Ovis aries: one gene and its partners. The protein of the gene in region 2 interacts with the protein of the main gene of each other region in a biochemical or structural test. Links are inferred from orthologs where the notes say so. Each region holds a gene or a part of one and is shown on either strand. Other genes may lie near its edges. The genes, in order: KLHL12, SEC31A and SEC13.

What was found.
Region 1: of the proteins of SEC31A (region 2) and KLHL12, one has a biochemical effect on the other in vitro, tested with the Homo sapiens proteins (3 studies listed by BioGRID, with this or other methods). The link is inferred for Ovis aries from reciprocal best matches to the Homo sapiens genes SEC31A and KLHL12.
Region 3: the proteins of SEC31A (region 2) and SEC13 form a complex in vitro, tested with the Homo sapiens proteins (2 studies listed by BioGRID and IntAct, with this or other methods). The link is inferred for Ovis aries from reciprocal best matches to the Homo sapiens genes SEC31A and SEC13.

Annotation. Positions count from the first base shown.
Region 1 is NC_056065.1:79,286,434-79,290,183, forward strand, and holds the start of KLHL12 (kelch-like protein 12), read left to right. Parts: upstream 1-1,486; 5' UTR 1,487-1,613; intron 1,614-1,889; exon of another isoform or gene 1,890-2,004; intron 2,005-3,401; exon of another isoform or gene 3,402-3,485; intron 3,486-3,750. UniProt on the Homo sapiens protein: Substrate-specific adapter of a BCR (BTB-CUL3-RBX1) E3 ubiquitin ligase complex that acts as a negative regulator of Wnt signaling pathway and ER-Golgi transport.
Region 2 is NC_056059.1:98,364,469-98,368,118, reverse strand, and holds part of SEC31A (protein transport protein Sec31A), read left to right. Parts: intron 1-351; coding exon 352-615; intron 616-2,966; coding exon 2,967-3,086; intron 3,087-3,650. UniProt on the Homo sapiens protein: Component of the coat protein complex II (COPII) which promotes the formation of transport vesicles from the endoplasmic reticulum (ER).
Region 3 is NC_056072.1:54,315,617-54,319,266, reverse strand, and holds part of SEC13 (protein SEC13 homolog), read left to right. Parts: intron 1-773; coding exon 774-925; intron 926-1,306; coding exon 1,307-1,440; intron 1,441-3,650. UniProt on the Homo sapiens protein: Functions as a component of the nuclear pore complex (NPC) and the COPII coat. At the endoplasmic reticulum, SEC13 is involved in the biogenesis of COPII-coated vesicles.

The DNA of each region.
Region 1 (3,750 bases), on a different chromosome or scaffold from region 2:
TTGGGGGCATGAGCTAGGGCTGGGAGCAAATTCACGATGAATTTCAAAGCAGCAGCTGGGGCCCTGCTGTGATTACACTCCATAATTATGAGGCACATTCTCCTGTCTGCCACGCTCTGATGGCACAACAATGCAGTACCCTCTGCCTAACTGGTTTCGAGATTTGCCCCACATTCGATGTACTTGATGTAGAGCTCCACAACACATCCATGCTTCCCTTACTGAAACCCTTCAGTAGCTGTCAACACCCAGAGTCTTCCCAGGCGTCCAAACACCAAGGCAGGGCAGTGTGTGGAACCTGACTGATCCACTCACCTCATCCAGACACAGCCCTCCAGCAACGGACCTAAGAACTCAGAATCAGTTTGGGCTGCAGGGTACCGAGTCAGATATCCAAAGTTTAGGACGGTGTCCCCGTGACTTGACTCAAAACATGTTAGGGCTGTACCCTTGAAGAAAACAGAAGCAGCCTGACTAGGCCCCTCGGTGTGTTGGCTTTCTTGCTGGCAGTGTCCTTGCTTGCAGCCAGGAATTAGGCAATATCATTAAAGCAACTAGATGCTATTCTGCAGCCAGAAGACAAGGGGTTGTTTTTATTTAAATTATACATACATTAAGTCCACATGATGTAAAATTCAAAAGGGACAAAAATACGTAGAGGAGAAAATCTCTCCCACCCTGTCTCCCAAACAACCAGTTCCTCTCTCCAAAGAAATTTCTGTTGCTACTCTACTTTGTATCTTTCCAACTGCAATTTTTATACATATACTGGCAAATATGACTGTATCTTTCCCTTCTACACAACTAATGGCAAAGAATACTCACTGTTCACAACTTCGTGGAATTGAATTGTACGGCGGCACCACACGTTACTGAAACAGTCCCCAATCCAATCTACAACCTTGTACACACATCCTTTTTCATGTGTGTGAGAATATACAAAGGATACATATACCCAAAAAATCGCTGTTAAAGGATATCTGCATTCATCATTCTGGCGAACTTTTACAAAATGCCCCCAGTAAAACCTGGATCAGTCCTGCACTCAGAAATTCGGAAATCAAGAGCATTTTAGATCAGAGATACTACATGAGAGATGGAAACACTACACAAAATTAGACTACGATACTGCCACCCGCTTGGCCATAGTTTTATTATCCCTGAAGAATCAAAGGCACCACAGTGGAAAACGGTACACTCAAGTACAGCTGGTTTGAACCTGCAAAGGAACAGTATCAAGAAACCTCATTCCCTTCCCAGGCGCTGAGATAAGTGCGCCAAAACCAATCAGAAGCAAAATTTCTAGCAGAACGCTCAGCACCCAGGAGCTGTGAAAGGCAGCAGAAGCGGACAGGGGGCCGGAGGACCCCCGGGACGTCTAAGGTCCTTCGCAGTCTCCCTGGCGGAGTCCCGCCTCCAGGGCCGCACGCCCCTTCCACGTAACTGTCTCGGAGGGCAAGCAGCAGAGAACCGCGCGGCGGTGGCCACAGACGCGACTGTGACGCAGAGAACGCCGAGGTCCGTGGTCGCGGGGCTCCGGGATTCTCATCACAGCGATGGTCGGCCCGAAAAGGCCACTGCGGACTATGGACGGGAGGAAACGGGGCGCCTCGGTGGGTTTCCTCGACGTGAGAGGGCGCCTGAACGCCTGTCAGGTGAAACGCGCCCTGCGGCCAGCTCCCTACCTTGGACACCTGCGCACTCCTCTCGGGTCTCCGCGTCTTGAGGCCCCAGGGTCGGTGGTCGCAGGGAGTCTCGGCCGCGGGCCGCACCCGTGCCGGGGCCCGCGCCCCCTTCGCGCCGCGTCCACCCGCTCCGCCCAGGCCCGCCCGCGGCGCCCGCAGTCACGTGACAGCGGCCTCGCACGTGACGCGGGCAGGCGCGACGTCATCACGGCGCGCGGCCGCGGGCGCGGCGCCGGAGCCTCCGGGTCCGGGCGGCGGCGCTTGGGCACCTCCCGGGCCGCCCGCTCGCCCCGCGCCCGCCCGGCGGGCCGGAGCGCAGGTGAGTGGCCCGGGGGCGGCAGCCGGTGCCCTCCCCCGCCGCCGTCCCCTCAGGGCGGGCGGGGGCGTCCAGGCGTCGAGCGCCGCGACCTCCGTCAGGAGGCTGTCGGGGAGGGGGGCGCCGCTGCTGTTGTCGCCCGCCGGGAGGCGGCCCCTCCAGCGGGGAGCTCGCGGGGGGCCCCGGACCAGGTGCCCTGGGGCGGAGCGCGGCCGGGGACCCCGGGAGCGGGCAGCCGCACGCTGGGGCCGTGTCTGTCTGACGCGCAGAGCCGGCTCCGACCCGCCGCCCCAGGGTCCTCCCCGTATAGCGGCGTCCGTGCGGGCCTTTCTCAGTCTCCAGAGTTGAAACGAAGTTGACTGCAGGAAGGCCTTTCTGGATATCGTCTTACGCCTGGATGAGCCACCTCCTTTCCTGTAGAACGGGTCCTGTGGAGTGGCTGGAGACCGTAAAGAATAGTGCGCTACCCATAAACAGGAGTAGATGAGGATTTAGGGGCTCGTTTTCCCTTTTCGTATAAAACTATGGTTGTGAGTTGTGGATTTTCGAAAAGCATAGTTTGATTTGATTTTCTTGGATCCTTACAGAAAATTTTGGATTCCACATAAGACAGACTCTTAGTCACCTTCCAATTTCGTTCCCCAGAAATTGTCCTTGAAGCAAATAAACAAAAATAAAATAATAACTTAACTGAAGCTTGTCAAAAATCAAGAAATTACTTCTATTAATTTTTTGACGTGTAGCCTGTTACTGAGTTCATTTAATTTATGCATACAGTGAACTTTACAAGTAACTGGCTGTGGCCATAAAATTAGTAGTAGTGTTTTGATACGTTTTCTATCCCAGTAATTCTCTCATAGTATAGAAGAATTACTACAAATACTAATTTGTTAATATTGATGAATGTATACTAATAGTTAGAGTAGGTGGACTTTCTATAGAACTTCAGTAGCTTAAGCTTGCATGGTCTCCATTATTCAGTGTAGGTACTGCATCCCCTGGAGAAGGATAATGGCATCCCACTCCAGTATTCTTGCCTGGAGAATCCCCGTGGACAGAGGATCATGGCGGGCTACAGTCCATAAGGTCACAAAGTGTCGGACATGACTGAAGTGACTTAGCATGCAGGCATGCATTGGGTCCTCATTTGAGGTTTCATTTTAAGAACAAATCCAAATATAGTTGGAAGTCATCATAAATAATTAATTGGGTGCTTCTTTAGAAAAAGTTTATTTTCACTGATACTGGCCCTTTTGCTCTAGGTTGAAGGTGCAGTTCCTTTCTTGCATTCTGTTACTGAACGTTTATTATACACTTGCTGGGAGAGAAAAAAAAAGATACATATATATAAAACTGGGTCCCCACCCTCTATAAATATTCAGCTACTTAATTTCCTTTAGGGTATTAAAAATAGTGACATCACACCTTTAAGAAATTGTATCTTCTGACTTTCACCGTGAGAGAGAGCGGCCTTGTGAAGATAGGTGAGAGAGGAATAGTCTCTTTCTCCTTGCAGCAGGGTGTTGGCGGCAGTTATGTCGGGTGGTTTGGGCACTCCATGGCAAGGGGAGTTCAGAGGGAGGAGGGATCCGATTTACTCAGGGGAATTAGTGGCTGGGTTGTGTTGGTAATGCCAGGAAGAGGCGTGTGCTCTACCTGTGGATGTTTGAGTCTGATGGCGCCGCCTCTGTTTGTAAAGCTAACTGAATATATGCAGTGTCCCCAGGCTTTCACACGTGCTCCCTGGCT
Region 2 (3,650 bases):
GCCCCTGTTATTTGTCCATTCTATATATAAAAGTTGACATCTGCTCACCCCAGCTTCCCATTCCATCCCTCGCTCAGCCCCCTGCCCCTTGGTACCACCAGTCTCTTCTGTATGTCCATGATTCTGTTTCTGTTTTGTAAATAAGTTCATCTGTGTCATATTTTAGAGTCTGCGTGTAAGTGATACCATGTGGCATTTGTCTTTCTCTTTCTGACTTACTTCACTCAGTATGATAATCTCTAGTTACACTCATGTTGCTGCAGATGGCTAACTCCTGTATTTAAAGCTGAGGAAATGTTGTTACATCATTTTTTTTCTTACTCCTGGTGCCTTTTGTCCATCTTTTAAAAGATGCCTGAGAACTTTACGCCTCCTGTTCCCATCACATCGCCAATCATGAACCCCTTGGGTGACCCCCAGTCACAGATGCTGCCGCAGCAGCCTTCAGCACCAGTACCGCTGCCCAGCCAAGCTCCGTTCCCACAGCCACACCTCGCCAGTGGCCAGCCCTTCCGTGGCATCCAGCAGCCCCTCAGTCAGCCAGGCATGCCTCCGTCGTTTTCAAAGCCCAATATCGAAGGTGCCCCTGGGGCTCCCATTGGAAATGCCATGCAGGTAACAGTGAATCTGTGGAAGTGGGAGATGGCTCTATTTTAGTGTGTTTCTTCAACGTGTTAACTTTTGTGGTTATACCTTTATTGTTATCTCAGTTTGATTTTCATTTAGACAACTTAAGTAAAAAAGAACTTTTTTTTTAAGATCACACGTGTACAGTATTTTCCAGTGATGTGGCCATATGCAAACATTCTAGATAGGGCTTATGTGTTTACTAGTATATGTTAACAGTAGCTTGGCAATTGAAGTATTTCGTTTCATCTAATCAGTAGCCACAATTTAAGATCAGTGGAATCCATATTGGCATCCAAGGCTGCTCAGCAGAAGCTGTTTCCAAAGGGTTTTTTCCTTTAAAATGTTTAAAGATAAAAATATAATGACTTCGATCTTTTCTTGTGTGTGTGTAAGAGCTAATAATATAGCCATATCTTTGGATAGAGATATCAGTTCATACTTGCTTTTCACATACAAGCAGCTAGTTGGCAGGGCTCTCAGTAATGAAAAAATCTTATCAGGTTTCCATGTAACTGACTTAGGCATAAAAGGTAATCTTGATCTATTCATGAAAAATAAAGAGGTTGGGTCCACAGTTCAACATAAGAAGATGAAATAAATTCCTGCCCAAGTATATAAAACTAGTTCTTCTGTCATTGTCTTTGACTCATTGAAGTCAAATTTATAAAGATTGTATCTATCACAAGAGTATGTTTTGCTGTTAAGAGAGTTCCTAGATATTAACAGTAGCATTATAAACTCCAGTGTTCTGATGGAGGTGGGAGGACCTGCTTCTTTTCACAAGAAGATACACTTGTATGCATTGTTAGTTTCCATGATTACAAGTCTGTGCCATTTGTAAAGCCATTCACTTGGGACCTGGGAGTTCGTGCTACACTCGTCTGGACCAGAACTTCAGTTACCAGGGAGAGGGAGAGCACCATGGATGTGTGTGGTTCAGCCAGGCAATGATACCCAGCTCCCTGTCCACTTGGATGTTTCTGAGGCACCTCACGCTTAGTATATCCAAAGTCCAATTCATAGTCTTCCTCCCAAACCTAGTTGTCTTTTGGTGTGTCTCGTTTCAGTTAATGCTACCATAATCCTTTTCATTTAATCCAGCCAGAAACCTGGGCATCTTTATACTCTTTTTCTTTTAACCTGTTTTCAGATCTATCCCCACATCTTGCTGATACTACTGTAAAGTCTCTCTCCCATCCCTTCTCCATGTTTCCAGTCTAGTCCATGCTGCCTTTGTCTCCAGTCTTCAGCAGTACAGGAGCCTCTCACTGGTCTGCCAGCATCTGCTATGACCCATCTCTTCTCTGGTCTTAGCTCATCGTTGCTTAACATGTTACCACATCCCACTGTTCTCAGGATAAGGACCAACATTTTTCATATTATCTGGAAGCTCTCAGCTCCTACTCCTCTTTGCTGTCTCTCTGCTCCAGCCAAGCTGACCTCCTTTCAGTCCCTATATCATGATCTTTCCTATGTACTGTTCTTCTGTCTGGAATGCACTTTTTCCCCTGTTTAACTCCTACTTAACCTTCTGATAAAACTTCCTTAAAGAGCCTTCCCCTCAGTTAAATCCCAGTTATATTGTCTGTTGGTTCCAGTGATGTGAACTTAACCACAGTTGCTGTTTTACATACATTTATGACATTTTTAAACTTTCCCTCCTGCTAGCCTGTAAACTCCCTGAGAGATAAGATTATTTCTGTATTGATTCATCAGTGCCTAATACATAATTGTCTAATATTTTCTACGAATGAATATAATCGATCAAAATTTTAAGCACTTACACATTCCTTCTTTGTTTATCCCTCTTATGCATTCAGTTAGGTCATGGTCTCTTCTATCCTAACCTTTGATTTAATCTCAGTTTGATAAAAGACCAGTTAACCAACCTTCAAGACTGTTTGAATAAACGAGAAGGAGCCAACAAGCAAAGAATGCAAGACTGTTGGAATAAACAAGGAGCCAACAAGCAAAGCAAGCAGTCACCCCCACCAGCCAGCTTTATAAACACCTGATTCTTTGTTTCTTACTGGCAAGGTCCTCTTGCTGATCAGTTATATACAGTCGTGATCAACATATGTTTCATGATTAAGCAAATACTTTATACCCAACCCTGCTTTTGAAAATAGAAGCTGTAGGAAGACTACCTGTATTTTCTATTGAATATCTGATTTTTCTGTTTGCTTATGCCAGGTGATTCCACGCGTTCATTTTTTGTTTGATTTTGAATGGCCTATCTATAAATTAGTTGTTTTCTCTTTATGACAGATTCAGGACTTTATATACAGGTAGTTTCTGGTCATTTCTGCTCATTTTAATGGTATTATTTCTTCCAGCATGTGCAGTCTTTGCCAACAGAAAAAATTACCAAGAAGCCTATTCCAGATGAACACCTCATTCTAAAGACCACATTCGAGGATCTTATTCAGCGCTGCCTCTCTTCAGCCACAGATCCTGTATGTGTTTTTTATTTTGCTTAATTAAAAGATTCCATTATGGAGCTCTTTTATATTTATTGCTTAAAGTCTTACAAGATGTATTTTGAAAGTTTTTGCAAAAGTGGTAAAGCTAGCATTTATGTATGGTTTGCTTTACATGTAAAAGCATACTCAGTTGTTTTTATATAATCCTTAAACCAGCCTCGTGGAGGTAGGTTTGTCATATTTATTTACAGATGAGGAAGTTAAGGCACAAAATAGTTACAGTATAATCCAGGCAGAGCCAGCATTCAGACCTAGTCTGGCTCCAGAATTCATGTTCTCAACCCCTGAGCTGCACTGACTCATCGACAGACATCATGTCCGGCGCAAGAACAGGGCAGAATGCTAAACTACAAGAAACTCAGACTTGGGGTTTCTTTCAGAGTGTATGTCTAAAGGTTTTAGAAGTAGGGACTTCCCTGGCAGTCTGGTGGTTCAGACTTTGCCTTCCAATTCGAGGGATGCAGGTTCAATCCCTGGTCAGGGAGCTAAGATCGCACATGCCTCATGGCCAAATAAACCAGAACGTGAAACAGAAGC
Region 3 (3,650 bases), on a different chromosome or scaffold from region 2:
TAGGACGATTGAGTCTCCAGGAGTTTCATCAGCAGCTCCTTTGTGGAGGTTGCGGCTGGACCATTGTCCCAGCTAAGGGAGGTGGCTCTTGAGTGTCCGCAGCCCCGGATGAATGGGTGAGCAGGGAGCAGCTCACAGGTGTCAAACTCGGGTTTTTCCTTTTCTTGTACCCAGCACTGTTTCAGACTCTTAAATGAGTTGTCACAGACATCTCCCTCATGACCACCACGTGAAAGAAGTCACGCTGACGTCTCTCTCAAGAGACAAAGCGAAAGAGAGGGTAACGGCCCTGCCCTGAAGTCAGGCAGCCAGTGAGTGGGGATGGGTGTGAAAGAGCCCGACCCATCCGCTGTGTGCTGGGTGCCCCCTCTTCTGAGCCGCGGACCCAGTACAGAGCCTGGCACGGCACATCCTCAGACAGTAGTGACCAGGTGAACGCACAGAGGTGGGAAGGGAAGAGAGAGCCCTGCCTTTTGAAAAAGTGCAGAGTAGTGGAAGGCACTGAGATGAAACATTCACTGCCTGCTCAAGAGCACAGCCTCCTCAAAGGCTCTGCTGGCTCAGGAGAGAGGGCTGGCTTGCTTTCAGCCTCAGGGTCCTCACTGTCCGCTGAAAGTCCCTTTTTGAGTGGCATTATTCAGCTCTATCCCTTTTGAAATTCTTCGGCAGTTCTCTCCTGAGAAGCCATTCACTTCTGTCCAAAGTAGTGGCCGGCAGAGTGCCCTGCCTTCCTTTTGCCCATCTGAACAGCCTCTGGCCCTCTCGCCTTGCAGCCATGAGGGTCCCGTGTGGCAGGTGGCCTGGGCCCACCCCATGTATGGCAATATACTCGCGTCCTGCTCCTACGACCGGAAAGTCATCATCTGGAAAGAGGAGAATGGCACCTGGGAGAAGACCCACGAGCACACAGGACACGACTCCTCAGGTACAGCGCGGGGAGCGGGCGGGGACAGGGCGCGCGGTGGGAGGGTCCATCTACAGCGGAGGCAAGGTCCTAAAACCTGAAGCCAATACAAAGCAAAACGAGAAGAGCAAAGACGAGACGGTTGGTTGGTTGGTTTTTTCCTGTAAGGTTTATTCATTTCAAGTACTGGTCTTTGTTCTGAGAGTATAAGATAGGCTTTAGCTGATGATGATGATATTAGTAGGTGATGGGTTTTTTAAATCTCAATTGACAAAATTACAACTTTCCCCAAGGTGATCCCTACGATTTTTCTTTTCTTTTTTCTTTTTTTTTTTTAGAAATTTAGTTAACAGTAAGTCTCGGACGTGAAAGTCTCTCACTGTGCCTCCTTTCTTCCTGCAGTAAACTCCGTATGCTGGGCTCCCCACGACTACGGCCTCATCCTGGCCTGCGGCAGCTCGGACGGGGCCATCTCGCTGCTGACCTACACCGGGCTGGGCCAGTGGGAAGTAAAGAAGATCAACAATGCTCACACTGTAAGTCCACACCCTGCCTGCGGGTTGCGGCCTCGCCACGTGTCTGCCCTTCCCTCCTTAGAGAAGGGCAGGAGCGGCGTCACTGCTGTGCAGTGTGCCACAGGAGGGCTGCTGAGCAGACACCTGCTGGGCAGGTCTGAGGCTCTTTGTGCCGAAGCCAGACAGAGGCTACATCCAGGGAGGCCAGGCTGCACCTGCCTTATTCAGCCCAGGGCGGCGCTGGCAACTGGTTCCTCCAAGTCAGGGAGGGCCAGGGCACTGGCAGGGTGGCAGCAGTAGCCTGCCTATCTGCCACCCTTGCTGTGCACAGCGCAAGTTGACATGGCCTGCAGTGACCACTGGGGCCCCTGGAACTGATTGGTGTTACAAAAAGCATCATAGGAAGTTCTCTGCTTCCTGTGTAAGGGTGAAACAGTCAAGGAAGCAGTGTGAACAGTGCTGGGAGGGCTCAAATTTCTTGGGCCTCTACTGTATGTCACGTAATCCTCACAGATGTTTGTGAATCAAAAAACTAACATGTACAGATGCGTGAGGTCACCAGTCCTGTTCTCATTTTGTGAATAGATATGTGAGGCCCAGATAACTGACTTAGAGGAGGTGCTGTGCTGGGGTAAGAACACTGGAATCTGTGTACCCCTTGTCTACACAGTCGTCCAGCCTTGTTGGCCCCAGAGCTTCTGAAAGCTATCCAGATGGAAGTCAGCAGCCCCAAGTCTAACCCCGTACTTTCGCAGTTCTCAGATCCTGGGAATCCACAGCCTGCCCAGCCTTCAAGGCCCCAAGAGCCTTTCTGTGGCTCTTGTTACTTGGGACCCTGTGACCTACATCTGCTGACTAACGTAAAATTGAATAGGCCTAGAGGCTTCTGGAAAGATGGCAGGGAATGACGTCATAGTGCTTAAGTCTCTTCCACATCTCTGCATAGAAACCAACAGAGCAACTTAGGTAGCAAAAACAAAACTTTCTAAGCAGTAGTTGACAACAGAACCGGGTAAAAAGGTATTTCCATAAACTTGAAAATACAAGCGAAGAGGGATGGACCAAATACAGCACCAAGACTGCGTGGTGTGGGCATGCGAGCAAGACGAGGAAGTAAGTGGCGAGCAGTGCCTTCCAGTGGCACCTGCGGAGGACCCGCAGAGAGCAGGAGGTGTTCACGGAGAAGCGCAGACAGCCGCTGTTTGAGAACAGGGATTCTGGACTTCTGTTTGTAACATGTTAAACTCATAAAATTCACCCTTTTAAAAATACAGAGTTCTGTAGTTTTTGCTATACTCACAAAGTTGTACAACTCTCACCACTAACACCCAGTGGTATTATTGGGGTGATAATACTCATCACCCCAGTAAGAAACCCCATTAGCAGTCACTCTCCACCCTACCCTACCCCCAGCCCTAAGCAACCCTAGTCTACCTTCTACCTCTATGAATCTGCCCACTGGACATTGCTGGTGGACATTACATATTGTCTCTGGACACTGCCTGTAAGTGGAACTATGCAGTACAGCCCACAGAAGACTGACTTCTCTCACTTGGCTTGTTTTCAGGGTTTATCCATGTTTCATCCAGATCATAGCATATATCACTGCTTTGTTCCTTTTTTATGGCTGAATAATATTCCATTGCATGAAAAATATATATATATACACACACACACACATTTTATTTTGCATTTATTTCATTTTTATTGATCAGCGGTCATTATGAATAACACTCTTACAAACATTTGTGTATAAGTTTGTGGTTTTAATTTTTGGGGGTAACTGCCTGGGTGTGGAACTGCCAAGTAAGGGAAGCTCTGTTTAATTTTTTGAAGTAACTGCTAAACTGTTATCCAAATTAACTGCCCCGTTTTACATCCCTGCTAGCAGTGTATGAGGGCTTCGGTTTCTCCACATCCTTGCCAACATTCCTTTTCTTTTTGATGATAGCCGTCCCAGTGGGTGTAAAGTAGTACCTCCTTGCAGTTTCGATTTGAATTTCTCCAATGACTAATGATGTTGGGCATCTTTTCACATGCTTCCTGGCCTTTTGTGTGTCTTCTTTGGAGAACTGATAGGGGGATGGGCTTGCACTGTCTCATACTAGGTGAGTGCAGGGGACCCACCGTAAGAAAGACTGGAAAGGGGGCTGGGGAAGTCTCACCATATGACCCGCTGGCCTTGCTTCCACGGCAGTGCTCCTCGTGAGCAGAGGGACGCAGAGCCAGAG